Linked DNA regions of Ovis aries. The protein of the gene in region 2 interacts with the protein of the main gene of each other region in a pairwise test. Links are inferred from orthologs where the notes say so. Each region holds a gene or a part of one and is shown on either strand. Other genes may lie near its edges.

Region 1 (3,944 bases), on a different chromosome or scaffold from region 2:
AGCTCGACCTTCAAAGTAACCATGTAAGGCAGGTGCTATTATTAGTCCCATTTTACAGACAGGGAGATGGAGGGAGAGAGAGAGACTTGCCTTGAGCCAGCCCTTAAGTACTACTTTGTACCCCAACCCACAAAGAGTGTACTTTCTATTTTTCCAGCATTTCTAATCTTTATTAGGAGAACATTAAGTTGTGGATGCTGCTATTGACTGGTGTTTCTATGCACTGAACTGTTGTTCTTAAATCATTGATTCTCAGGGCCATTTTGTAGCTCAGAGTCTTAGCTGCTGGACCACCAGGAAAGTCCCAAGAACCTTTGAGTGACATCGTTACAGGATATTTTTTCAAGATGTTATTGACATAGTGACTATTGAAATAACAAGATAATTCTTACCGAAAACTACTTGCAGAAGTTCTAATGCATTTAAACAGCCACGTGGTTCCTTCCAGACTGAAGACTGAGAGGTCCCATCTTGATGGCATCACCAACTCAATGGACATGAGTTTGAGTGAATTCCAGGAGTTGGTAATGGACAGGGAGGCCTGGTGTGCTGCAGTCCATGGGGTTGCAAAGAGTCAGACATGACTGAGCGACTGAACTGAACTGATCTTGGTTTAGTCAGGTGGTGCCCATGTGGCAATATCTTGAATAAGTTTACATATCCCTTCCCCAGCCCAGCCTCAGCTTTGAAATTATGCAAATTCTTGGCAGATTGTTCTAATTGGGAAATAGTTATTTACTTCACATCACATTTTGTGCAAAAAGCAAGACATTATTAAGAATTAAGGGCTATTGAGAATTTATTTCAAATTTGCATTATTCCAAGTTGCATAGACTGGGCCTGAGAGCAATTTCATCCTTGGTCTGTCCCCCATGGGACAGAGGTGCCAGTCCCTGGGGATTCTCTGACAGTCCCTGAGACCTCTTCCCTCCTACAGGTTGGCCAGCCGGAGCAGTGACAAGGACGGGGACTCTGTGCACACAGCCAGTGACGTCCCACTGACCCCACGGACCAACTCCCCAGATCGGAGATGCTCATCCTCAGACACATCTAAGTCTACATACAGCCTGACCCGGAGGATTTCAAGTAAGCCTCTCTGCTCTGACTGTCAGGGGTCCTGGCTCAAGTCAGCTGCCCCTTGGGGTCCATGAAGTACAACCCTGTTATCTGGGCCCCCAGGATAAAGGGAAAGAGCTGGCGTTCCCAGATGCTCAACAACACCCCCAGGGGGAGACATGAAGGACAGGGTTGCTTCTGGTGGGGGTGTGGAGTGTGGCGTGACAGTCCAGGAGACAGGATGATGGAGAGGTGACAGTGTGACAGAGGAGGGCATTGTACCTGATTTCTGCCAAGTTCAGGCAGAAGCAATCATTTTGATTGATTTTTGTTTATACTGATCACAGGTTTCATTGAATTGGCTCAGTTGGTAACGTTGTCAGCATATATCATTTCAGACCCCGAAAGGCAAGTGTTAGTTACCATGTTGCACAGCAGGGCCTGCAGATTCAAGTGACTTGAAGGCCCAGGTGGATTGTGTCAGTGGCTAAGTGCCAAGGGCTGGAGGGAGATAAATATCACCCTAGTGAGTGACAAATGGCAGCCGACTCTTGACCTGGCACTAGGGCAGGGTGGGGACTGGGGCCAGTTGGGAAGCCAGTGTCTTATTGAAGGGGAGCAGCTGCTACTCAGCTGTAGCCATGTGGGATTGTATTACCTGACCTTTCTAAAGAGAAACTGGCAGTCTGGGTTTTCATATGAAACTTCCTTACTTTTCAACCCAAACAGAATGTATCTCTGGGTTGAATATGGCCCTTGGCCCACTCTAGAGTGGGCACTCAGCACACACACACTCTGTAGCCTGGGTGTAGACCAGAGGGTGTGATTTGGGTGGGGAAGAGAAAGGGTGATAAAAAGCCCAGAGTCTCCCAGCCTCTTGTTACTAGCCAAGTGTGTCTCCTCTGTCTCATGCAGCTGATGTCTGAAATTCACTTAACAGAGGGAAAAGGCTTAAATTCATGAAACTAATCCACTCAGCTGGAAATGATTGAGATCTCTGATCTTTTCTGGGAGTGGATGGGGAAGAAGAAAGAAGTAAATTTCAAGAGCTTGAAATAGTGAAACAGAATGGGTGTCTGGCTTCTGTATCCTCCATCTTTTCATCTGTAGAATAAGAGGGCCTGTCTGCCCTGTGCAGCCCGCTGTCCAATACAGTGTCCACAGGCATGTAGCTGAATTGAGATGCACTGTATGTGTTACATACCCACTGGATTTTGAAGCCAGTATGAAAAAAGAGAGAATTTAGAATGTCTCACTAAAATGTTTTTATATTGATTACATGTTGAAATGATTGTATTTTGGATATATTGGTTTAAATAAAATATAAAAATTTCACCTGCTTCTTTGTACTTTTACATAATTGTGGCTACAAGAAAATTTTAAGTTACCTTTGTGGGCTTCGACGGACATGAGTTTGAGCATGCTTCGGGAGTTGATGATGGACAGGGAAGCCTGGCATGCTGCAGGCCACGGGGTCACAAAGAGTCGGACATGACTGAGTGACTGAACTGAACTGTGGCCTTGTATGTCTGTATCTGGTTCACGTTTTATTTTCTCTTGGATAGCGCTGGTCTAGATAATTCCTAAATCTTACTTCCAGCTCTATATAGAGATGACCGCGTTTAGCACACAGTTATCAGGGTGCAACCATGCACTGGCAAGGGCTCATGGTTTTAGACAACAGGCAGGTATTTGGGCAATCAACAAGATGCCACGAAAGAACAAATACTATGTAATTTTCCCAACAACAGGAATCTCATAGTCAGATTTCCAAGCATCTGCAGAGTAGGACATGGTTACCCAGGGAGCTTGAACCAGGCAGGTGTTGGTTTCACTTATACCAGATGAGTAAGTTCTAGAAATCCACTCCAGCAGAGTGTGTAAAATTAGCAGTACTATGTGGAGTACCTAAACATTTGCTAAGAGAGTAGATCTTATGCTCTTAACAGACACACAAAAGTAAGTAAATAAAGAAGGCAGGAGGAAGCTTTTGAAAGTGATGGATAGTTTATGGCATAGATTGTGGTGATGGATTCGTGGGTGCATACTTATCAAAGCCATCAAGTTGTGTAGATTGAATACCGACAACTTTGTGTGTGTCAGTCATACCTCAATTCAGTGCTTTGAAAGAGAAAAAAGTACCATGAGGTTATTGCTAGAATAGAGAGATGAGCAAAGAAGGCAACAATGAACCTGGGAGCGGTGAACTCTTCTGCTTAATGGGGAGGGGAGAGGCACCCCGAAAGTGACGAGCTGTGAATGTGAGCCTTGAAGGTGAATAACAGTTACCATTCAGTGCCTCTCAGCACATGCACGTTCTGTGCTGGGCTCTCTCCACGCATCGCTCAGTGAGTTTTCACCACCATCTTTGATGTGGCTGCTATGATTGGCTCCATGTTACAGATGGGAAAACCGAGTGTGTAAAATGTGCCTGGAGTCACTTGGCTCGTTACTAGAGAGTCACGTGGTTCACGAGGAAGTAGCTGGGTTGGAATTTGACCCAGACACTGGCCCCAGAGCCAACTCCGTGAAATCGGAGGCTGGGAATGGTTAGAGTCGGACCCTGGGGCCAGATAGGTGGGGCTTGGATCCTGGCTCCTCCTCCTACCAGTGGGGTGCCCTTTGGTGAGTTACTTAGAGTTTCTGTTTCCTCTTCTGTAAAGCGAAGGTCATCAGTTCAGTTCAGTTCAGTCGCTCAGTCGTGTCCGACTCTTTGCAACCCCATGAATCGAAGCACGCCAGGCCTCCCTGTCCATCACCATCTCCCGGAGCTCACTCAAACTCTCGTCCATCGAGTCGGTGAAGGTAATAGTCACTGGCTAATGCCTTGTGAGGGTTATGAATGTGAAAGTGTTAGTCGCTCAGTCGTGTCCGACTCTTTGCAAGCC
Region 2 (4,728 bases):
GCAAAGAAAGCCTTACCGTCAAACGCTTGCAGCAGGTTCCAGCTCAAACCCAGACTGAAAAGTTGAGCAGCTGGTGAACAAAAGTTTTAACCTTTTTTTTTTTTTTTTTTTAACGAAGTCTGCAAAACTAATTTCCCTCAAAATAGGGCTCAATTTCCGTTAAAGAAAGCAGCGCTAACAAATCTCAGAATTCCTGATCACTCCCACCCCATCTCACCTCTGAGCATTGGAAAACAATTCGAACTTTCACACGGATATAAAGGTTTATTGCAAAGCCACTATTCTCCAGGATACTTGAAAGAAAAAGGAGATGGTCAGGCTGAAGCCTGAGGGACAGGACTAGGGAAAAAGTTCTACCCTGGTGACATTTCTCAAAGATTAATCAATACATTTTCCTAATTCAAACCAGATGCCTGGCCCAGTTTGCTGTCCCCAATAATCCCATTAACAACTTCCAAGACCTGACCCCCTGTCCTCTGGACACCTGAGACAATGAAAGTAAGACGGCGACGCTCCTGGTGGCAAATTTGGGGTCCCGGGAGGGATAGGTGAGCGCCGATATTCTCCTGATGCGACAAGTCCTAGGCAAGGCTCAACTGTTCCCGCAGCTCATTATGCTCGGCCAGCGTGCGTGCCTTGTGTAAACGACTTGGCCCCTAGCAGACAGTGTCGCCCTTTAAGCATGTGGTAGTATGAAAGCCCAGCCGTCGCTCGCATTAATTCACTGGTGGCAAGTTTTCTAAGTCATTTTCTAGGATGCAAAATTGTAACCAGGGAGATCCGAACTTTAAGCGATACCAAAGTGTAATATTTGTTTGGTAAATGGAACCATGGCGGCGTGGGAGTGAAAGGGGTGCAATGAGCTGATTGATTTTTTTGAGCGGAAGAGAGATGGATTTCTGGAGGGAAACGAGGTGACAGGGGGCTGGCTCCTGAGGGAGAGTACTGGAAATGTACATTCAATATACACATCGCTTGTGACTAGGGTGAAATCGCTTTAGAATACTCCTGATCCAGGAAAAGTTTTTCTGGGCGGACAAGTGGCAAGGAAATGGAAGTGGGACCCGGAAATCGAGAGCGGTGTGGGGGAGGACATTTGAGGAAAGCAGGGGAAGAGACCCCACCTGGGACCGCAGGTGAGGATGCCAGAAGCAGAGCGTCTGCGACCGTCACGGCCCCATGCTTTCTTCCACCCTATCAAGTCTCGTTCCTTGCGGCCCTTTCTCGCCCGTGGGGAACTTTTCCTGCATCCTCGAATCTGGCGTCTCAGCGCTCTAACAACCCACCCACAGACACCAGCTGTATAAAAAAGCTAGAAACGCCACTGAGCCCATGACACGAGTTGATGCGAATTTGGAAAACCTTAATCTGAGTGCGCGCCAAACTAGCTCTGATTCTTTTCCTTATCCTCCACCTTTCGTGCTTCTCCACATTTAGGCACACCCTGTTTTTCTGCAGGTGACAGTGCCCAAGTGGCATTGACAAGACACCTTTCAGGAGAGAAGTGAGCAGGTGGGACACTGGCTGTGGGGTTGGAGCTGGCGGGCGCCACGGCGCGCCCCGGCCGGCGGAGCGGGAAGGGCAGCCGCTGCCCGCCGGGGCTCTGGTTTAGGCGCCCGGCTTGCCGCTTGCAGTCCAGGCTGTTGGCAGCGGCGGGAGGGCGTGGACGCGCTGCATGCGTCCAGCCGGCGATAGGAAGTGGAACTGGGAGCGCATTGCGCGAACTGAGCGGGAGTTTTGGAGGGAGTTTGCATGTGGTCAGCACTGGGCTCCTAAGCCAGCCCCCAGCTCACATTACACTCTATTTATAACCTCTCAGAGCCGTTTCCCCCTGAAAGCAGTTCTCTGGGACCACCTTCTTTTGGCTTCAACCTCTCCTGCTCTTGACATCTGAGTAGCTCAGAGGGAAGCTTCTCGAGGTCCGAGTGTTTATATGTAAAGGAGACTGGCCGCTAGGGCTCAGGACCAGGATTATCCGAGCTCTGACGAAACGCGGGCGGCTATTGCTTTGGGAGGGGGAAAAGTCACACGGTTTCCAGTGAAAAGTGACAGAGGGTGGTGGCGTTTGGAACCGTCGTGAAGTCTTCTGCCTGGAACCCGAGACTTGCATGCTATGGAACACCCGCTCTTTGGCTGCCTGCGCAGCCCTCACGCCACCGCGCAAGGCTTGCACCCGTTCTCCCAATCCTCTCTCGCCCTCCATGGAAGATCTGACCACATGTCCTACCCCGAGCTCTCCACTTCTTCCTCGTCTTGCATAATCGCGGGATACCCCAACGAGGAGGGCATGTTTGCCAGCCAGCATCACAGGGGGCACCACCACCACCACCACCATCACCACCACCACCACCAGCAGCAGCAGCACCAAGCTCTGCAAACCAACTGGCACCTCCCGCAGATGTCCTCCCCGCCGAGCGCGGCTCGGCACAGCCTCTGCCTCCAGCCGGACTCGGGAGGGCCCCCGGAGCTGGGGAGCAGCCCGCCGGTCCTGTGTTCCAACTCTTCCAGCTTGGGCTCCAGCACCCCGACCGGGGCCGCGTGCCCGCCAGGGGACTACGGCCGCCAGGCGCTGTCACCCGCGGAGGCGGAGAAGAGAAGTGGCAGCAAGAGGAAAAGCGATAGCTCAGGTAAGGGCGCGCCGGGCACCCTCGGCGAAAGGGGGCGGGGAGATGGGAAGATTCTCCTACTAGAGTGAGGCGGCGGGCGTTATGGGACAGGTCTTTTCCTCTCTGGCTCCTCGCCGCCAAATTCGGCGAGGCTGCTTTGGTCCTTTTATTTGGGGGCACGTGTTTCTCCGAGGGCAGCACTGCAGCCAAGTGCGTTAAGCTCTCCAAGATTCAAACTAGTTTACCAGAGGGTTGAGAAAAAAAGGACAAGTGACAAGTATGTGAAATCGATTGCGAAGCGTGACCTTCCATCTGAGCGATGGGGAGAGGAATGCACCCTGGGATGCAGCGTCCGCTGGGCGTGCGTGCGGGTGCCTTTCCTTGACTTTTCCCGACTCTGAATGGCTCGATTTTTCCCATCGTTAACTGGATTTCCAAATTATTGCACAACATTTGGAACTTGCAGTGGAACTTGGCAGAGCACATGAGAAAAAGTTTTAGTTTAGTTTTTTTTTTTTTAATTCTGATTTCAGAGTTCTTTAAATAGCACCCTATTCCAAATGGTAAAATTTCTCTTTCTTGGGGGAAGAAGATATTGTCTAGGAATTCAGAGGATTTTAAGGAATGTGTCAGAGAATGGCAACTAAATATACGCTCAGACCCTTGACGAAAGACGATTCTTTATTGTAGTTGTATTCATGTAATGCTAACCAAAAAGAAAATCTGAGTTTCAAAAGTGGAAAGTAAAATCCTCCTCCAGTTGAGTACTATCCGAAACAAGGATTGGGAAACTTAACAGCAACCAGGGTAGCGCTGCTACAAGTGGGTGTGCGTAGGAGGCGCTGATCTACGCGAGGATATCTTGAACCGCGTAGCGAAAGGGGAATCTTAACCAAACGCGAATGCTTGAAGGCACCCGCAGCCAACTAAACTTTAGCAATCCAGAGAAACTAAAGCTTTGCAGTCAACTGTCAAAGCCCTTACCTGTCTCTGTCCTAAAGAAATTGTTAAAAGATGCTTTATAAGGAGGGTATGAGCTTTCTTCAGTAGCTACGACGCAACCTGCGTCCCATCTTTTTGCAAGCTGTTGTTTATTTAATATAATATTTACGTATTTTCTTTCTTTGCGGCATTGGTTTTAAGAGCCCTGGAAGATAATTCCAGGTACTGATTTGAAAGACTGGATAATGTCTATCCTTTATAATAATTTAGATTAGATTTCACATGAATGACAGTGATTGAGCCGCATATTTCATGTTCTTTTTCAGCAGTGGTATCAATTATTCTTCAGTGAGTACGGAATGGGTTCTTCTATCTCAAACTTAGAATCTCACGTTTACATTCCAACGTCAGGGTGAACTTCTAATGCTCCATCACAAAATAGTTGATATCCAAAAAGGTTGCCAGCAGTATCATTCATTTTTAATGGTTTTTACTAACCCTAAGTGAGACACTCTTCAGACAGAGTGAAAAAGTTAATATAGCAAGAAGGCTTCCATCTTCATTAGAAAACAAGTCATTTTTAGAATGCAGTCATCCTTTTATAGGATCAGCATTTGATATCAATGTAACTTTTCTGGGATTAGATCTGAGTACAGGTTAGCCAGGGACGCTTTTGCAATTTACCAGAGGCTCTTACTATTCCTTGTACTTTCTGCAGTGAGAAACCTATATCATGGATTGTTTCATATGCTTCTTCAACTGAACAAACGCACCTAAGTTTCTTAGGACAAGCTGAATTTTCATATAGGCCTATGTTACTTTGATCAAGGAGAAATCAAGAAAGTGAGATCCAAGAACTGACTCCCTTCAGTTATTTTAATAGTGACTTTCTTAAGAAAATTGGTTATATTAATACTGCTACCGTCCTTTGGTGGGAAATAACCATATAACAAAATAAGTTTATCTTTTCATGTTGAAGTTAGTCATTAAAGTCCTGGAAAAACAAAAGTTTTCATCAGATACATAAAATATTAATAGATTACATCTTGAATGGGAAATACAGTTAATCATCACCAAGGGTAGAATCATTGGGAAGTTAGAATGAATTTTTTCTTTGATGGGATATTTTGAAACAACTCTTCACTGTCTAAAAGGAAATATATTTTTAATTTCTTGTTGA
Region 3 (3,201 bases), on a different chromosome or scaffold from region 2:
AAACACGTTGGACTGGGTTGTTTTTCCACCTCTGTTTAAGAAATCAAGTCTTACGTGCTATCCTGCCCTACTTCCAGCTGTGTTTCAGATGACTCAGTAAAGCAGTACACATCCCGGGATCACCTCGCAAAGCACTTTCAGGCCCCCGTCTTCAAGTTTGTGGGCAAAGACCACAAGGTGAGCTGAACACCTATACCTTACAAAGCTGCCTGCCCTCTCCCTTCATGAACCTGAGCCTTCCTACTGTCCCCATTTGTTCACATTCTAAAGCCTACCATTGGGACCTGTATGACCTTTATGAAAAATACTATAACACTGGGCGTCTAGAATCTTAACACCTCCATGAATGTCAGAATCATCTGCCCCCTCCCAATAAATTAACGAGGCTTGTTCAAAGAAAATATGATGTGATTATAATCCAAAATCCTTGTGAGCAGGTGTGATTGAAAAAGCCTGTGTAGTGGTCACGTGGCAAACTATATGGAGAGAATATTTGCAAAAAAGACAAATAATGAAATGTTCAGTGAAAACAGCATTTCACTGTTTTACATGCCAATTCAAATAATTATAAGACTATTATATACATATGAAACTTTTAAAAATTATAAATCCCAACTTTCAAGGCTCTAGGGAGATGTGTATAGTAGCAATATAAGTTGATATATTTTCTGGAAAGTTGTGTAACAACCTGACAATTAATTAATAATCTGACAATGTGTAATAACCATAAAATTATCAGTCAAAAATTTCAATTCTGACAGCTTCTCAGAAACAAAAATAAAAACATGGTTTGTTGAATGTGCTTATAGAGTACTGTTATGAGAGAGGCATTAAACCAGTGCATCAATTGATTCAATATTAAGCAGTTAATGTACAAAGAAATATAGAAAAAGGAGATATGAAAAAATTCTTGTCACAAAAAATTTAAATGCAAATTGAATATGAAACAGTTTTTTAATGTATATAAGTAAATAGAGGTTATAAGAGGCCATATATTGATATACTGTGTTAAGGTGGAAGGTTTTTTATTTTAGCAGAATTGCTGAAACACTTAAGCAAAGGAAAGTTTGAGGCCAACAGTTTTTTCCATAATGCATCTAAGTGTATTCATGTGCTATCCAGCTTCATCATTGTTTCGAAATAACTGCTAACCATGATGGCTAACCCTGATCTTCCTCTTCAACTGGGCAGCATGCATTGGGAAGTTACTTATAGGAAGAAGCTTGTAGAAAGAACTTGTTACTTTACACAGAAGTGGGTGGGACCCCATGTTATGCCCAGACCTTGATGTGATGAATCAAAATGTTAGTGTTATTAGACGTTGTCCTCACAAAGTTGTCTTTGCACGTGTCCAGGCACGGAGGCATAAGTTGTGGATGTCAGGTTTTAAATCACCCATGTGACTGAGTATGTTTGCCTCATTACTAAATGTGTGGATTTGGACAAGTTCCTTAACCTTCGTAGTTTCCTTATCTGTAAAATGGGGATCACATCTGTCTCAAAGGGTGGTTGTTTAGATGAAATGAGATAAAACATATGAAACATTTGGTAGTGTCTGGCTTCCCCCACCTGGCAGCTGTCTTCACTGTTTTTATTCTTTATCATTGTAATCTTTCCAGGAAGTGTTCCTGCACTGCCGGGTCCTGGTCTGCGGGATGCTCGACGAGCGCTCTCGCTGTGCTCAGGGCTGCCACCGGCGAGTGCGTCGTGAGGCAGTAGAAGGAGAGGATGCCACTGGTCCACAGAGCCAGATGCTGACAGGCGGGCCGATCAGCATCGACTGGGAGGACTAGGACAGCCCATCACCCAAGTCCTCCTGCAGGCAGCCTGTCTCTCTGGAATTCTCCCCTCGCCTTCTGAGAGCATCAGTCCACACTCTAGAGCACCATGCTGCTTTGAACCTGACACTTCGGGGTTAGACAAACCCCCAGAACCGACTCACTCTGACTCCAGCCCACTGGGTCAGGAAAAGTCACCTCACTGCTGACCAGCCTGTTCCAGATGGAACTTCATCCTCCTAATGTGGAAAGCTGTGCCATGCACCCCCAAAACAGCTCACTCCCATGCTCCCTCATTTCTTTCCTGCAATAAAACACCTAGAGTAGGCTACAGTAGCACCACCACTAAAATCAGAAGTTGGGTATATCATTTCAAATTAGGAATTTAAAAAATGAAATAGTGGCTTGAACTTATGACGTAAATACCCACTGACTCCTTAAATATGTAAACAATAATTATACCCCAAAATTTCCATTCAAATACAGAATAGTTATAGGGGATTTGGAAGTTTATCACTGTAAGTATGTACTAAAAATAAACTATTTGGATTTTCTCCTGCATAATATTTTCCTCTGGGGTTTTTATGTTGTCTTAAGTAAACTATTTTCAATTAATAAATGTTAATAAATTCATTAACATGGATTTAAGTGGTTCAGTGACTCAACAGTAGACAAAATTAAAATATGGTAACATATGCCCTGTTATTTTGCATCCTGCGCCCTCAGACTGACAATAGAAAAAGCTATAAAGCTACACCATACTCTATTTTGTAGATGCTTAATACATTTTATCGAAGTAACTATCCTAAACCACAGAGATAAATGTTATCCGCAGTTAAATCCTCTTGCTAAATATGCCAGTTCATTTTATGGCTTTACAGAAGATCAGAAAACAGTTTTTCTACTTTTCTTTTTAGAAAAAGCTGCAACCAACAACTTGTATTGGAACCAGTAACATTAACAAAAGGAAGAAAAAGGAGAAAACAATCTAAATCAGGGGTTGGCAAACTTTTTCTGTAAAGGGCTGAAGGGTAACTAGTTTAGGCTTCCCTGGTCGCACAGGCCCTGCTGCAACTACTCAGCTCGGCTATCCTAGCACAGGAACAGCGGGAACTTTACCCAAACAGGCGCTAAGCCTGATATGGCCCAGGCCTTTGTTTGTCGGTCCCTAACTTCAGTGGTCCTCAGGCCTCACAGTGCATCAGAATCATTGGGGAGTGTTTCTAAAATACCAAGATGTAGGCACCAGCCCCTGGAGAAGGCAATGGCACCCCACTCCAGTACTCTTGCCTGGAAAATCCCATGGATGGAGGAGCCTGGTGGGCTGCAGTCCATGGGGTCACGAAGTCGGACACAATTGAGCGACTTCACTTTCACTTTTTACTCTCATGTATTGGAGAAGGAAATGGCAATCCACTCCAGT
Region 4 (3,944 bases), on a different chromosome or scaffold from region 2:
TCTCATGACCTCAGTCCTGGGAGCAGCATGCCGCTCCGCTCATTCCTGTTATCAGGAACTGATAAGGAACAGAGGGCTCATGAGAGGCAGGAAACAGAACACATGAATCCTACTGTTAAACATCCCCTGACAGCAAGGTACATAAATTAACAGATTTCTTCATCTTATATTGTGTGTGCTCAGTTGCTCCGTCTTGTCTGACTCTTTGTGACCCCATGGACTGTAGCCCACCAGGCTCCTCTGTTTTCATGGGATTCTCCAGGCAAGAATACTGGAGGGGGTTGCCATGCCCTCCTCTAGGGGATCTTCCCAACCCAGGGATTGAACCCATGTCTCTTATGCCTCCTGCATTGGCAAGCAGATTTTGTTAACTACTAGCACCTTTGTTCAACTGGAAAGATTAGGTAAAGATACATTTGATGCTAGGAGAGGATTTGATGTTTGTTAGTTGAAACTAGTGCTCTGCACAAAACAATTAGTTTTGAGTCATCTTATTCTTTGTAATGGTTAACTTCTCGTTTTCTACAAATGAACACAAAGTTGTTTGTTTTGACCTGGAACAATAAAGATAATTCTCTTATAAAACAGAGTATATTTTTGATGGTCTGGAAGTGCAATAACCCTGTATAAGATTCTTAATTATCTATAGTTTCCCTTTTTATCTCCTCTAAATCTCTGATCTCACTTGATTTGACCTGGGGCAGTCAGCAGCAGAGATGAGTATATTTGACTATCCTTAATGGCAGCTCAAAAACAAATATAAATGGTGGGCTGTTTACTGTAAGTGCTTCTTCTCATCTTCTCTTCTCATGCAATTTGAGAAGTGACTCTAGACTATAATAGAGAATGCAGGTTCAAATTAGATGTGCTAGGAAAAAAATAGAAATCTCTTATCTTTTAACTTTCTGACTCTCCCAGTTTCTCTTTTGCAGTTCCATTTAAAAGATAAAAATGCATCATGGATCAATTAAGATCCTTTCAATTGAAGGTACAGAAAACTCAAATAAAAGGTATAATAATAGGAGCTTATTACTATACATAATAAGAAATTCAGAAGTACTTGGCTCAATGATGAAATCAAAGTCCTGGGCTCTCTGTCATCCTCAGCCTGTTGACTTGTCCTGTCATGGTGACATGATGGTGGCCAGGCATCACGTCACACAGCCTTGTCCAAAGGCAGATTGTATCTCTTTCTACCGGAGAGGAGACCATTCCCAGAATCTCCCAAGCTGGCTTCCCCTCCAGTTCCATTGGCCAGCATGGATCAGGTGTCCATGTGGGAGCTGTGATGGAAGCTGGGAAAGTATGTATCTGACTCTCGGGCAGGTAAAGAAGAGTGCTTGTGACACAGTATGTCCTTCAGCAAAGCCTTCCCAGCAGAAAGAACCTCCTGGCCATCTTTGGAGTGCTGATTATGAATTTGTTCATCCAGTAGACGGAGAAGGCAATGGCACCCCACTCCAGTACTCTTGCCTGGAGAGTCCCATGGACGGAGGAGCCTGGTGGGCTGCAGTCCACGGGGTCGCTAGGAGTTGGACACGACTTAGTGACTTCCCTTTCACTTTTCACTTTCACGCATTGGAGAAGGAGGTGGCAACCCACTCCAGCGTTCTTGCTTGGAGAATCCCAGCGACAGGGGAGCCTGGTGGGCTTCTGTCTATGGGGTTGCACAGAGTTGGAAACAACTGAAGCAACTTAGCAGCAGCAGCAGCATCCAGTAAAAACACTCTTATGAAAGGAGTAGTGAAAGGAAGAATAAAAGATGGGTGAGAGGGGGGACTTGCATCTATTTCATGACCATGGGCTTACTGCCATGTTTATATAAAATGTTTATCTAAAAATTATGCTTTGAGGATTTCCCTGGTGGTCCAATGGTGAAGACTCCGCACTCCCGGTGTAGGGTCCCAGGTTCCATCGCTGGTCAGGGAACTAGATCCCATATGCTGCAAATAAGAGTTCGCATGCCACAACTAAAGATCCTGCATGCTGTGACTAACATCCGGGGCAGCAAAATAAATAAATGAATAGTTTTCTTTTTTAAAGTTGTGTTTTTAATGTTGTTTTCCTTCTGAAGCTCTGCTTAGGCAGTTGAGGCCCCACTGCTCAGAATAAATACACATAACCAGTAATCCTTGAAGACTGAGTCAGTCTATTAAAATAACAGCATTTTCTTAATTTTACTGTCATTTCCTCCCCACTTGTTCCCTGCTAGTGAATATAATACATTTATGTTATATTTTATGCACTTTGTCTTCTTTTGAAGACTTCATCATTTGTGTTACAAAGGACTAATTATGTATACTCCATGTTGCAATCTAAAAGTGAAGAATTAAGAGCAAATGGGTGACTTGTTTGTTTAGACTGCTCTGGTGGATAAGCTGAGTAGAGTTCACAGAGGGATAGATGGAAGACTACGGAAGTTCATGTAAGCTTTCCTTAAGTGAAGTCAGACTAAATGGGGAAATTAGGAAGGGAATCTTAGTAACATCTGAATAAGGGAGAATTTTAGTAAAGGGAGTTATGGTTGACCCCTGAATAGCACAAGTTTGGTCTTCTTTTATGTGTATATTTTTCAATAAATACATAATTGGCCCTCTATATTCAAGGGATTTGCATCTCTGGATTTAACCAACCTCAGACAGAAATTTTCATCTATGTTTGCTTGAATCTGCAGGTGCCCAAACTGCAGATATGGAGGGCAGGCTGTAGTATGCCATTTTATGTAAGGGACTTGAGTGCTCACAGATTTTGGTATCTGCTGAGAAACATGGGACTCATTCTCTGCGAATCCTGAGGGATACCTATATTTCAAGTGTTTATGTGAATGCTACTTATATGCTGTTTCCTTCATCCCCTTAGGTGGTACTGGCAACAGGAAAAGATACCAGCTTATGTGGACTTTATGAAAAATAATTACCCTCCTGATTTCACATATGAAGATTTTGGGCCACTATTTACAGCAAAATTTTTTGATGCGAACCAGTGGGCAGATATTTTACAGGCTTCTGGTGCCAAATACGTTGTCTTAACTTCCAAACATCATGAAGGTAAGTAAGAACAGCATCTGCAGACACTGACAGTGGTTATAAATGTGAAGTAGTTCTTTTGGAAGAAGAAACTAAAGCAAGGTCATCCGCATGAAAACAGTTTTCTCTTAGGAGCAGTCCTAAGTGGCTACTGACATTTGCTTGTAATTTAAGAGATCACATGTTTCACCCAATTAAGAAGCATTAAGAAAAAGAAAAAAAAGGAGCATTAAGTATGCAGAAAGATCATACCCTCCACATATAGAAAAAAATGGAAACTGATCGCATTTTATTATGTGCATATTTAACAATTTCCAAGTAACGCAAGATTTTATTAAAGTCATTTGAAGGGGTATGTGGTTTGCAGGTCAAAGTTTACAACTGAACTGCATTCTTTCCATTTTCTTCTCACCTCTGTGATGCATTCTGGGAAGGTACTCTGGGGATTATTTGCTATTGTCTTACATTATGACCAACATACAAGGTGGTGCTTTTGGCCAACTCTTATATGACCCACTTGAGGAAAGTTTGCTATTGATGAAAATGACACAGGCTACCTGAAAGGAACAGGATTGCAAGGCTGTAATGACGCCCAGAAATATGAGAGATGGTGGAAGAATATCTAAAAAGAAACCGAGTGGTTGAATTAGGGTTCTCCAGAGAAATAGAGCTAACAGGAAGTATAATATGTATAGATTTATCATAAGAAACTGGCTCATGCAACTATGGAGGCTGAGAAGTCCAGACCCAAGACAGCCAGTTATATAGTTCCAGTCTGAGCCCAAAGGCTTCAGGAACAGGAGAGTGGATAATATAAGTACCTGTCCAAATCTAACTTAAAGACTAATGTCTCAGCTCAAAGACATACAGAGAAAACATTTTTTTTTTTAATTAAAAAACAAAAAACACCACTCCTTA
Region 5 (4,566 bases), on a different chromosome or scaffold from region 2:
AAGAGTGGTTCAGGGGGTCTAGGGTGTGGGGCTGGAAGTGGATAGGCGGGAGAGGAAAGTGGAAGGAGGCTAGATCCTGAGTGAGAAGGGCAGGGAGTACCAGGCTGGGAGCAACTGACTCCCAAACTTTCTGCCCAGGAGGATTCTGGGTCTTAATAACATTGGCAGCTGCTACGTTGTACAGTAAGTTCTATACATATGAACCTTCAAGTTACAAACTCAAAGATGTGGACACGCATCTGGCTCCAGCAAGGAATCAGAATCGGTGCCATCGATGTCAGACGGGAGTGAGATTGCAGCTTGCCCTCCATCTCCTATTGCTGATAGTCCTCCAGCTTCACCACATCTCACCTCCTCTCCCTCCTCCAGTCGGCTACTCTTCCTGACTGTTCATTTGATGCCAGCCCCTGTATGCCAGCTATTGTACTGTACTACTGTACTTTTCAAGGTACTGTGCTGTAGGACTTGAAATGTTGTATCTTGTGTGTTTGCTTTTTATGTGCAATTTGTGTGAAAAGTATTATTACTGTATGAATAGTACAAAAAGCCAATTGTATTAGTTGAGTGCTTCGACGAACTTTGTTGGACTTAATGAATGAATTGGACTTAAGAACGTGCTCTTGGAATGAAATTCATTCAATATGTAGGGGAAATTACTGAATTTACCCCTTGAGAATACATGGTGCACATTAACATATTAAAGGGTCTGACAAGTCCGGCAATAAAGAACTATGGTGTTAATTTAACCCAAACTTAGACATTAGATTGCTTTTCTCAAGCCATAACATGCTCATCATCATCTCCAATGCACACCTCGTCTAGCTTGTTCACTATCATGGGTCTAGAACTGGCTTAAATTCAATGGTTACAAATATTTTTTTGTTGGTTGGGGAAGTTGAGCGAATGATCTCATTAGATCTTCAGAGCAACTCTATGTTATTGTTGTTTTGTCACTAAATCTTGTCCGAATCTTTGCGACCCCATGGGTTGTAGCCCACCAGACTCCTCTGTTCATGGGATTTCCCAGACAAGAATACTGGATTGGGTTGCCACTTCCATCTCCAGGGGATCTTTCCGACCCAGGGATTGAAACCAAGTCTCCTGCTTTGGCAGGCAGATTCTTTACTACTCTATGCGGTAGGTACTAATATAATTTCCATCTTACAAACAAGGCTCAGAGAGGCCAGGTGACCCGCCTAAGACCACACAGTTAGTGGGTAAAGAGCTGGAATTTGGCCTGAAGTGTGCTGGCAGCCTCTCCCCCACCCTGCCTGTTTCTCAAAGATGCCCCACACCCCCAGTCTCACTGGTGATGGCAAGTGTGGGCTCCCCACTGAGGGCTGCCCTGGGACCTCCCTAAGCCCTTCTCCTTGCCCTGATGGCTGTGGACATATACTCAGGCCGTTGCCCAGAGAGCTTGGCTGTAACTTGAGTCTCACCCAGGCTGGGGGTGATGAGGAGGGTGGGCAGGTGACAGCCAGGGCAGGGAGATTTGCCCAGACACTGGTGAACGGCGGCCTGGCAACCAGGGTGGCCCTGAGGGGATCGGGGCGGGGGGCTTCGGGAGCCTGTTCAAGAGTCCAGGCAGAGGTCTCCACTATGGGCAACAAGCAAACAGTCTTCACTCACGAGCAACTGGAAGCTTATCAGGTAGGGATGATGGACCAAGCCATCGGTGGGTTTGGCAGCCTGGTTGTTTTCTTGGCTGAAGAAATGGGGACAGCATCCCTTCATCCTGGTGGGGTGGGGGTGCAGTCAGCAAGAGGTCTTGGGGTGGCTCTGTGTGTGGATTCAGGCAGCAATGGGTTGTGGGAGAGGAAGGAGGCGCCCCCCCCCCCCCCCCCCCGCCAGGCATCAGGCAGGGTCTGGGTTAAGCCAACATCTCTCTCCACAGGACTGCACCTTCTTCACGAGAAAGGAAATCATGAGGTCAGTCTGAGGAGGAAGGGAAGAAGAGCTGGGCACTTTATATGCTTTGCAGTTAATGGGGGAATCGTGTGCTCAGTTGGTGGATGCATGCAGAGATGGGAAGGCTGCTGAGAAGTCCCATCTGGTCCTATTGCCACATCTCTAGGCTGACAGGCTTGGGCTTTCTCCGAAAGGTGGCAGGGAGCCATAGAGAGTGTGTGAGCAGGGGCGATGTGGATCAAAACTTCCCCCTGAGGCCCAGTGAGAACAGGCTGGGACCCCAGGGGGCAGAGTCTAGAGCCAGCTCTGGGCAATGGGGTTGACATCAAGGTTAGAGGGTGAAGAGGTGGCCCCAGGCTGCTGCAGGTTCCTGGTGTGAGTGAGACAGGCATGGAGGGGTTATCCTACAGCATCACTCAGCCCATGGAACCATTATCCAGATTCCGGACCCATGAACTTTGACCTGTGAAACCCAAGTTGGCTGGGGTTTGACTGCAGAGTGATCAGGGCCAAGGTCCCAATTGTGTGGGTGCAGGACATCCATTATTGATGGGCAGAATTTCCACTAGTAAGCCCCACCGTCTTGGCGAGGACAGTTCACAGGGTCACCCTGACCATCATGATCAGATTACTGATGGGGAAACTGAGGCTCACACAGGGGAGGCTGACCTCAGAGCCCTGGGTAGATGGGTAGGGCCCCAAAGAGTTTGAGGCTAACATTTTGTGCATCTCAAGCTTCTTGCTTCTCACACAGACCTACTGAGCAGAAAGGGGGAAAAGGGGAAGGGGGACTTACTCGAGGCCACATAGAAACCCAAACCCAGACTATTCTCTGAAGGGACCCAGCGGTGAAGTTCCAGATACCCCCCTCTTCCAGTTCCTAGCCATCATATGGCTTCTATCACCTTCTGAGGCATCCCTAACAACTTCAGGATCTCTGGCTCATCAAGGATAGTCTGTACAAGGTGACTGCTCAGCATGTTCCAGTGACGGTACAGTATCACCAGGCAAGGGCATTGGAGTAGACACTTGACCCCACCATCTAGGCAGTGTGTATGGCCTTTGCTGTTTTGCAAAATGCCTTTCATTTACCCCTTGGAGAAACCTGAATATTAGACTTTGTCTCTGGCGCCTTGAGGGAACTACAACCCCCATTATGGAGGCAGAGAGGGAAAGTGTGAGGATGAGGGTCTTGCCAACAGTGTGATGATGTCCAGCAAATCGTAGATTCACTCAGAGTCTCTGAATGCTCAGTGTGAGATGACCTTGCCTTAAGCACTCTCTTTTCTGTCAACCCCATCTGCCTGGTGAGCTCTTATTTGTGCTTCAAAGCCCAGCACCTAGCACCCATGCCCCCTCCTCCAGGAAGTCCTTCCTTCTCCTTGGCTTACTTTCCCCACTCCAGTTTCCCCTAGCTTTGTTTGTTTGTTTGTTTGTTTTAACATTTTAAAAGCAATGAATTGATTTTCTGGCTGCTCTGGGTCTTGGTTGCTGTGGAGGTTCATCCAGTTTTGGTGAGCAGGGGCTACTCTCTAGTTGTGATATGTGCGCTTCTCACTGCGGTGGCTTCTCTTGGGAGCATGGGTTCACAGGTGCGTGGGCTTCAGTGGCTGTGGTGTATGAGCTCAGTAGTTGCCTCATGGCATGTGGGATCTTCCCAGACCAGGGACCAAACCTGTGTCTCCCACACTGGCAGGTGGATTCTTAATCACTGGACCTCCAGGGAAGTCCCTGGGGTCCTGTCTTTACCTTGGCTTTGTCCCTAGGGAGATAAAGGTGTCCCTGTGTGTGAGGGCTGGGCCCAGGGCTGAAGGCTCAGCATCCTTCATTGTAGAGTGAGCATCTGTGAAAGGGAGAGAGTAGAGACAAGCCCACCCTCACTCATCTCCCAGACCTTCTCATTGTTTCCCTCCCCATACCAGGCTCTTCTATCGCTACCAGGACCTGGCCCCTCAGCTTGTCCCTCTCGACTATACTAGCTGCCCTGATGTGAAGGTGCCCTATGAGCTCATTGGCAGCATGCCTGAGCTGAAGGTATGCCCAGGGCCCTGGGGCAGGCATGGGAAAAAATAGAAGGGATGTCCCTTGTTGTATTTCTATGAGGTGACTATTGCAATTATTTCTATTTTACAGGTGAAGAAACTGAATTTCAGATAGGTTGAGACACTTATTTATGATCACACAGCTAGGACATGAGAGAGACAATTCAAACCCTGGGTTGTGGGAAAGATGAGATGAGATAATGCAGGTAAAGGGCTTAGCACAGGGCCTGTGACATGGCAAGTACTTAGGAACATTGCGCTGAGTACGTGCTGAGTCTCTTCAGGCATGTCCATCTCTTTACAACCCTATGGACTGTAAGCCCGCCAGGCTCTTCTGTACATGGGGATTTTCCAGGCAAGAATATTAGAAGTGGGTTGCTGTGTCCTCCTCCAAGGGATCTTCCCAACCCAGGGATTAAACCTGCGTCTCTTATGTCTCCAGCACCGGCAGGCAAGTTCTTTACCACTTGCGCCACCTGGGAAGCCCACTCAGGAACATTAGTTCTTCTTTTTCATAGTAGAAGCCATTAAAGACAGATTCTTCTCAGCAGGATGTTTGACACTGTCTGGAGGGGACTTGTGGGGTGACAGAGAATAGAGATTATTTTATCACAAG
Region 6 (3,944 bases), about 88 Mb from region 2:
ATCTTGTAGGTAAAGCAGAGGGAAAACCTTTTGTCTTGGCTGATCACCAGGTATTACAGCTGACAGTTATAGACACCGGATAGTTATAAGACTACAGACGTGGAGCGGTGCAATCGAGCAGAATCTGATCCAAAGTAAAACCAGCGATCCAACAGGGGGCTGCTTCCCCTGGGTCTGAGAGCTTCTCTGGGTTGTACTGATGGTCCTTGCACAGGAGGGACCGCACCCCTCTGCCTCCAGTGGGAACTCTCAGAGAACCGGCACACACTGAGGTCTCTCTGAAAACTGCTAAATCACAGCTTCCCTCTGTCCTTTCCTTTCCTTTTCCAATTCACAGGACACCAGAGAAATATCTTATGAACACGAACTAGTTACTACCACAGCCCATTAGAGGCTGACTCTATGTAAAAAGAGGAAAACGCGGGAGGCCGTGTACATGTGCATCAACTTTTCTCCAGGAAAAATATCCACGTTCTAAGGGCGCTGAAAATCGTAGAAAACGGGCCCTGTTCCTGTGGGTTTTCAGAACACCTCTCTAAACACACACAAAATATTCGACAGATAGTACCTACAAATGTTGACCATCGCTTCAACTCTAAAAGCAGTTTTTGTATTATTTTTGTTTTGATACAGAAGGGGAAACTCAGCTATAAAGAAATATCAAAAAGTTTTTTTTTTTTTTTTTTTGTGGCCATCAGTCTCCAGGAGTTTGCCGTCGCTTGCCTCCCCCGGCTTGTGCTGATATCTGAAGGGTGTGCTCAGGGGTCTGAAGTCGGGTGCTTCCGTCCCGCGCCCTCCTCCCTGCCCACGCTCCCCCCTCCCTCGCCCCCCACTTCCCGGAGCCAAAGAGCCGCCGCTCAGATGAGCCATTCCTTTTTGCTCTCGTCGATGGTCTCTGTGAAGTTGGGGTCGTTGTTCATGATGGCGGCGTCGGCGCTCTCGGCCGACTCCGCGCCCTTCGCCTCGTTGGTGTGGTAGGTGCCCTTGTGACGGAACATGTAGCGAATGAGGAAGACCAAGGTGCAGAGGATGGTGAAGATCACCACGGCGATGACCCCTGGGGGACACAGACAGAGGGGCGAGAGGTTAGACGCGGCCGAGGAGCCCGCCAGCACCCCGCGCCTCTTCAGCACGGCTCCCTCCAGGAGCCTCTCCTTCAGGAAACACGGAACTCCCGACAACGCCACCAGCAGCACCGGGCGGGGAAGGAGGCCGGCCTCCACAGTTACATCTGGAGATGTCAACACTTTCCTCCCAGGGGTTGACAGGACGACGAAACAGAAAACCAGGAAGCCTTCAGAAGACCTCAAAAACAGTTAACGAGCTTGACCTAAGGAAGTAACACTAGCCCTACACGTCTGTCTTAGAGGAGCCGGATATACCACTCAACTCGTTTTAGGAGGCCAGAATTATCCTGACACCATTACCAGACAAACACACGACAAGAAAATGAGGGAGCAGTGTCTCTCCTAAATAAAATGGTAGCAAATCAAACCCAGCAATATGTAAAGGGGAACAGATTATAACAAAAATGGTGTTAATTCTAGGAATGTAATGGTTGAGTTAACATTTAAAAATAAAGGAATGTAATTTAAAAACCTTTATCAATAAATGCACATGACTAAAAAAGAAATGTGAGAAATTTCAACACCCATTTATCATGAAGCCTCTCAGGAAACTATCAATAGAAACTTTCAACCTTGAAAAAGGGCATCTTTGAGAAATCTGCAGCTAATATTGCACTTAATAGTGAAAGATTAAACACATTCCTCCTGAAATATGGAAAAATGCAAGAGTGTCAACTCTCATCCCCTTAACTCATGACTGTACTAAAAGTTCTAGACAGTTGAATAAAATAAAAAGAAACAAAAAGTGTACTGATTGAGAAGGAGAACTCTATTCTCAGATGACAGGATTGTCTATGTAGAAAATACTAAAGAATAGACAAAAAAATGTTGCTGGAACTCACAGTAAATTTAGCAAGGGGAAATTTATATTTTTATATATTAGCAAGAAATACTTGGGAAAAAAAAGAAAAAAAAAAGAAAGAAATACTTGGAAATGAAAGTAATAAAATAGTGCCACTTATAATAGAATGAACTGAACATAGCTGTTCAAGACTGTACACTGAAAATCATAAAACCTTGCTGAGAAAAACTAAAGACCTAAATAAATGGATGCATATACCATATTTCAATGTCAATATTGTTAAGCTGTTCATTCATAGATTTAATGCAATTCAATTAAAATAATAGCAATTTTTTTGTAGAAATGTATAAGCTGATTCTAAATTTTATATGGCAATGCAAAGGACCCAGAACAGTCAGAATAGTTAAAAAAAAAATGATTGTAGAACTTATATTGCTTATTTCAAGACTTACTTTAAAGATACAATAATAAAGTAAGAGTAATATTGGTCAAAGAAAGATATATAAATCAACAAAACAAAAGAGTCCAGAAAAAAAGACATACAAATATATAGACAATTGATTTTTGACAAAACTAACATGGAAATTAACTTGGAAAAAAATACTCTTTTCAACAAATGATCTCAGAATAACTAGATATTTGTTTGGCAAATGATGATTTTTGACTTTTATCTCATACTATATACAGGTATTAACTCAAAGTGACTATGTGTATGTGTTAGCCGCTCAGCTGTGTCCAACTATTTGTGACCCCACAGGCTCTAGGCCACCAGGCTCCTCTGTCCATGGGGATTCTCCAGGCAAGAATACTGGAGTGGGTTGCCATTTCCTTTTCCAGGTGATCTTCCCAACCCAGGGATCAAACCTGGGTCTCCCACATTGCAGGCAGATTCTTTACCATCTGAGCCACCAGGGAAGCCCCTCAAAGTGATTATAGACTGAATAATTAATAACAAAAGCTATAAAACTTCTGGGAGAAAACAGGAGAAAATCTTTACAACCTTGGGGTTGGCAGATTTTTAGAAAGGATTAAAAAATATCACAAACTGTAAAAAGGTTAGAAAGTTGGACTTTAGAAAAATTAAAATCTGCTTTTCAAAAAATACCACTAAAAAAATGAAACAATGAGAATGCAAGAAGAACTCTTACAATTTAGTAGAAAGAAGTCAAACAATCCAATTAAAAGAGGAGAAAGATTTAAATAGACACTTCACAAAAGATTTGCAAACAGTGGTAAGCATGGAAAAAGATGCTCATTAAGTCATCATATAGTTGCACATTAAAACCTCAGTGAGGGGGCTTTCCTGGCGGCTCAGTGGTGGAGAATCCACTTGCCAATGCAAGAGACACAGGTTTGATCCCTAGGCCAGGAAGATCCCTTTTGCTGTGGAGCAACTAGGCCCGTGTGCCACGACCACTGAGCCTGTGCTCTAGAGCCTGGGGGCTACAACTACTGAGCCCACGTGCCACAACTGCTGAAGCCTGGGGCCCCTAGAGCCTGTGTTCTACAACGAGATAAGCTGCCACAATGAGAAACCTGTGCACTGCAGCTAGAGAGTAGCCCCCCACCCCCACTGCAACTAGAGAAAAGCCTGTGCAGCAAGAAGACCCAGCACAGCCATAAATAAATAAAATTAAAACCAAAAAGATACTATAAACAGAAAGAGACTGTTAAAAACAAACAGGGCGCAGTGAGTTACCACCACTCATCAACGAGATGGCTACAAAGAGTGACAGTACCAAGTGTTGGCAAGATTGTGAAGCAATTTGACCTCTCAGATATTGCTTATGGAAGCATAAAATGGTTCAACCATTTTGGAAAACTATATGGCAATTTCCTGTAAAGTTAAATATCTACAATAACCCAGCAATTATACTCCTAGGAATTACCAGAGAAACTAAAACTTTTGTTTACAAAGGCCCGAACTTGGACAAGAATATTCATAGCAGCTTTTGTCCAAACAGCCCAAGCCTGGAAACAAACCAAACATCTATCAGCAGGGGAGTAGGTAAAGC
Region 7 (3,944 bases), on a different chromosome or scaffold from region 2:
AGTAACCCAATGAACCTAAGTATATCTGAAGTCTATTAAAACAGAGTATTTCCTATGTTTCTCCGATGTCTGCAAAGGAATGATGTACTTAAACATCTAAATTCATGACCTTTCTTTAAAATTACTTTAAACACAAATGCTTAAATAATTTTATAATTTATTATTATTGGAAGGTACCAAAGTAAATAGCTCAGTTGGTAAATCATCTGCCTGCAATGCAGGAGACCTGGGTTCGATTCCTGGGTTGGGAAGATCCCTTGTAGAAGGAAATGGCAACCCACTCCAGGAATTCTTGCCTGGAGAATCCCACGGACAGAGGAGCCTGACAGGCTACAGTCCATAGGATCACAAGAGGCAGACAGGACTTAGCTACTAAACCACCACTACCACCAAAGTAGAAACCAAGCCCTAAAGTGACAGTGCCAGTTTTCTGGACTCAAATTCCTTTCCATGGTATGGCCTTAAGACTTTGGACACTAGTTCCTATTTATTCTCTGAACTTAATATACCCCTGCTGTAAAAATAACTAAAAGGTTTATGAGGTGATCTACCTTACATAGTCTTAATTAATTTGTAGCTAACCTTATAAAGTTAAAAGGCTGTATTCTTTTTTTTTTTTTCTGGCTGCACAGTACAGCCTGCGGGATCTTAGTTCCCTGACCAGGGATCCAACCCAGGCCCTCGGAAGTGACAGTATGGAGTCCAAACCACTGGACCACCAGCGATTTCCCCAAAGCTTCATTTTAAAACTGAAAAATCAAGAATTGGTTCCTTAGTCAAAAAAAGAAACTAACTATGAGAGCCTGTCCAAAAACCTTCAACCTACATCCTTATCTAATTGTGTTTGAACCCATGTATGCCTGTAGTATATGTTTCATATAAACTTCAAGCCGTAATAAATGAAACTGAAATTTAAATGCCTGAGACATTTCTTAAATGACATTTCAATACAGTTCTCACACAACTGGACAAAACATAGAAAGATTTGGTCAAAGTTAAAAGATTTTTTTTAATGCTATAACCAAATATGAAAGAATACATCATCTTCCAGGATAATTCTACCCAAAATTCTTCAGGCAAAAACTTTCACTTAGTAAATTATTATAAGAGTTCTATTCAGTAAATCATGTAACAAAAGATATCTAACAAAGAAGACAAATTAAAACTCTAGTTAATCTACACGAAGTTTATAAAGATTTCTGTCTTAGTTTCCCACACTGGTTGTCCTTCAGATACATTCCATTACATGGTAATATTTGGAAAAGCCACCCCATAACACAGGCCTTTTATAAACACCTTCTTTTCCATTAAAGAACTTAGAAACAGAGTTGGTTCTACCTCCTTAAATTACCACTTACAATTAAATTCCATTCAGTATTCAGAAATACAATTACTATTCTAAACACAGCATCTAAAAATAAAAATATAATATAAAGGATTCATATTACTAAAGATTACAATGGATTATTATAAAAACCAGTTAATTATATCTGCCTTGTTATCTGGATTTTAGCTGAACTCTCTCAAAAATACTGTAAAGGCTAAGTAAGGTGAACAGAGATTTGGTCTTAGCTGAAAGTTCTGATCTTTCTCTTTCCCTCACCCAAACCATTCTTCGTTAGAAAGCATATAATACCTATAACCACCCCAATGCCTGCTTTCCCCACAACCCACTAGGCAGCCAATCAGGAGGCAAGAAGGGAAAACAGCAGAACTCAGGACGCAGGCAGAGGAAAAGGAAGAACGTTCTCAGCTTACAGCAGACAAGCTATAGCATGTATGCAATGCGCCTTAGTGCCAAACAATAAATGTCTTAGAGGCAGAAGATATTTCTTTGATCCCGTACAAATTTCAGTATTTTATATAAGTCACCATCTGTTATTATTTTTACACAGGTAATGTGAAAACTGGAATAGATTAACCAATATACGTTGACTGTACTTTGATGAAGAACAGAAAAGTATTTCATACCTCTACTTTGGATGCCAAAAACACACATGTAGGAGCCATTAATACAGGATCTATACTTTTCAGAGAATACCTAAAATATGATTAAATGAAGGTAAATGTCATTCATACAGAAAACATACATGAAAACATTTCATATAGAAAATATTTATATGGGAAAAAATAACTCTGGCAAACACATAATTCACTTATATAAGGTCATCAACATTAGATAAGGATTTAAAATATACATAAAATATTTCCAAAATAACACATCCCTACCTTGCATAGAATCTCTTGAAATAGACCGTAGCAGTGGCAATAACTTGTTGTCTTAATTTAAGATGTTCACCTAATGCTTGGATAACTAAAAGAGAAATAAAGTTAAATGTATTTCTGATATAATTAACATTTAACAATAATTTACTTGTTAAATGATGACTATATTCATTTTAACAAAGAGAAAAACCTATACATGCTGTACAGCTCTACTTGGATCACAGTGGTCTACTACTAGGGCTGCAAATTTCTTTAAAAATATATAGCTACACATAAACAATAACAAACAGAAATTATCTCACAGTAAAAACTATTCTTGAATCAAGGAGATTGAATGATTATTTCCCTTCTACCTGCTAAGTGTTTTTAATGCTTTTGATATCATTAGACACTTATCAGCATTATAACAATTACTTAATAAAGCTGATAAAAAACCCAAAATGAACCCTCAAAACAACAGAGAGGTAGTTTTGCAATAAGAGTGGACAGAGAGTAATAAAGACTCTGTGACAAAGCCATCGTGTGGCAGAACAAGGACCTTCTAACACTAAATCCTAAAGCATACTTGTAAGACAGGAACAACCAATAAGGGATGCCAATCCAAATAATCATTTATCCTCAAAGTACTCTGCTTTAGCCAGTCTTAAATTAAGTTTAATGATGCATTATAAAAGCTTTGGGAAATTAATACTTTTGGACTGTCTTGAGGGTCTCTGACATGTAAGATTCACAAAAGACTTTACTTTTAAAATGATATATAAATTGTAAAAAAGAAGATACATGCAAATAAAAATGTAAAATAGGGACTAAAACAGTACATCACAAATTACTACAGAAAAACATTTAATTCAGAGGTAACCAACCACACCATTTCAACCAATTAAAAGGGAAGTTTACCATTTGTAAAAAATATCTGTAATTTCCAATACTCTTCTTCCGAGAGAAACTTTAAATCTTTTTGGCGTTCCTTCAACAGATCTTGTTTATCCAAAATCCATTGTAAACTAAAAAAGGCAAAGATTCAGACATTTCATAGAAAATTCACTAACAAAGTTATATAAAATATTCTAAGATTGAACAGGCTGCTAATATTGTGAGAAGTACAGAATACAAGTAACCTTTAAAAACAGTATTTTTCACATTTCTTGGAACACTGACACTGAGAATGATCTCACTAATAAATGTAAATATGCCCTAAAAAAAATCTGCTCTTTTATCCCCTCCTTCTCAGTCTACTGATCTGTCTCTCCCCACCCCCACCTCGTCACTATTCTTGCCTAGCATTTTAATAGGCAGTAATAGTTACACTTTCTTAGTGACAAAGAAACTATCCGATGGTGCCTAAGATTTGAAGTACATCTTTTTTCAGTTGTTCATGACTAACTAGAGTATCCCACTTCACAAATTCCATTCATGTTATTGCTTCAGAATTTATTTTACTAATATTTTCCTCCTCCTGCCTAGTCTATTTTTAAATAGACAGGCAATTGACATGATCCCACAAAATACTCTACAACATGCTTTTGTTACTCACTATGTCCTCAAAGTTTTATGTCAGTGAATTTGTTATTCAGCATCCCTTTAAACTGTTGCATGTCATGATGATGGATCATTATTTAGTTAATCCTTATTGATAGGCATGTAAGTTATTTTTTCCACTATTACAAGTAATGCTCTAAGGAACATCTGTAATGCACCCTTGTATATTTGATTAATAT

The links.
Region 1: the proteins of MEOX2 (region 2) and SYT17 interact in binary tests that used the Homo sapiens proteins (3 or more experiments, as listed by UniProt). The two-hybrid records come from large-scale screens. The link is inferred for Ovis aries from reciprocal best matches to the Homo sapiens genes MEOX2 and SYT17.
Region 3: the proteins of MEOX2 (region 2) and OIT3 interact in binary tests that used the Homo sapiens proteins (3 or more experiments, as listed by UniProt). The two-hybrid records come from large-scale screens. The link is inferred for Ovis aries from reciprocal best matches to the Homo sapiens genes MEOX2 and OIT3.
Region 4: the proteins of MEOX2 (region 2) and FUCA2 interact in binary tests that used the Homo sapiens proteins (3 or more experiments, as listed by UniProt). The two-hybrid records come from large-scale screens. The link is inferred for Ovis aries from reciprocal best matches to the Homo sapiens genes MEOX2 and FUCA2.
Region 5: the proteins of MEOX2 (region 2) and CIB3 interact in binary tests that used the Homo sapiens proteins (3 or more experiments, as listed by UniProt). The two-hybrid records come from large-scale screens. The link is inferred for Ovis aries from reciprocal best matches to the Homo sapiens genes MEOX2 and CIB3.
Region 6: the proteins of MEOX2 (region 2) and CNTNAP2 interact in binary tests that used the Homo sapiens proteins (3 or more experiments, as listed by UniProt). The link is inferred for Ovis aries from reciprocal best matches to the Homo sapiens genes MEOX2 and CNTNAP2.
Region 7: the proteins of MEOX2 (region 2) and CCNC interact in binary tests that used the Homo sapiens proteins (3 or more experiments, as listed by UniProt). The two-hybrid records come from large-scale screens. The link is inferred for Ovis aries from reciprocal best matches to the Homo sapiens genes MEOX2 and CCNC.

Annotation. Positions count from the first base shown.
Region 1 is NC_056077.1:17,267,126-17,271,069, reverse strand, and holds part of SYT17 (synaptotagmin-17), read left to right. Parts: intron 1-937; coding exon 938-1,086; intron 1,087-3,944. UniProt on the Homo sapiens protein: Plays a role in dendrite formation by melanocytes.
Region 2 is NC_056057.1:25,058,917-25,063,644, reverse strand, and holds the start of MEOX2 (homeobox protein MOX-2), read left to right. Parts: upstream 1-1,833; 5' UTR 1,834-2,113; coding exon 2,114-2,627; intron 2,628-4,728. UniProt on the Homo sapiens protein: Mesodermal transcription factor that plays a key role in somitogenesis and somitogenesis and limb muscle differentiation. Required during limb development for normal appendicular muscle formation and for the normal regulation of myogenic genes.
Region 3 is NC_056078.1:28,185,322-28,188,522, forward strand, and holds the end of OIT3 (oncoprotein-induced transcript 3 protein), read left to right. Parts: intron 1-77; coding exon 78-177; intron 178-1,619; coding exon 1,620-1,793; 3' UTR 1,794-2,421; downstream 2,422-3,201.
Region 4 is NC_056061.1:68,140,741-68,144,684, reverse strand, and holds part of FUCA2 (plasma alpha-L-fucosidase), read left to right. Parts: intron 1-2,859; coding exon 2,860-3,047; intron 3,048-3,944. UniProt on the Homo sapiens protein: Alpha-L-fucosidase is responsible for hydrolyzing the alpha-1,6-linked fucose joined to the reducing-end N-acetylglucosamine of the carbohydrate moieties of glycoproteins.
Region 5 is NC_056058.1:6,625,067-6,629,632, forward strand, and holds the start of CIB3 (calcium and integrin-binding family member 3), read left to right. Parts: upstream 1-1,599; coding exon 1,600-1,650; intron 1,651-1,894; coding exon 1,895-1,929; intron 1,930-3,830; coding exon 3,831-3,942; intron 3,943-4,566. UniProt on the Homo sapiens protein: Acts a an auxiliary subunit of the sensory mechanoelectrical transduction (MET) channel in hair cells. Plays a role in regulating hair cell MET channel localization and function.
Region 6 is NC_056057.1:112,873,487-112,877,430, reverse strand, and holds part of CNTNAP2 (contactin-associated protein-like 2), read right to left. Parts: intron 1,058-3,944; coding exon 858-1,057; 3' UTR 1-857. UniProt on the Homo sapiens protein: Required for gap junction formation. Required, with CNTNAP1, for radial and longitudinal organization of myelinated axons.
Region 7 is NC_056061.1:37,538,871-37,542,814, reverse strand, and holds part of CCNC (cyclin-C), read right to left. Parts: intron 3,231-3,944; coding exon 3,124-3,230; intron 2,315-3,123; coding exon 2,230-2,314; intron 2,042-2,229; coding exon 1,972-2,041; intron 1-1,971. UniProt on the Homo sapiens protein: Component of the Mediator complex, a coactivator involved in regulated gene transcription of nearly all RNA polymerase II-dependent genes.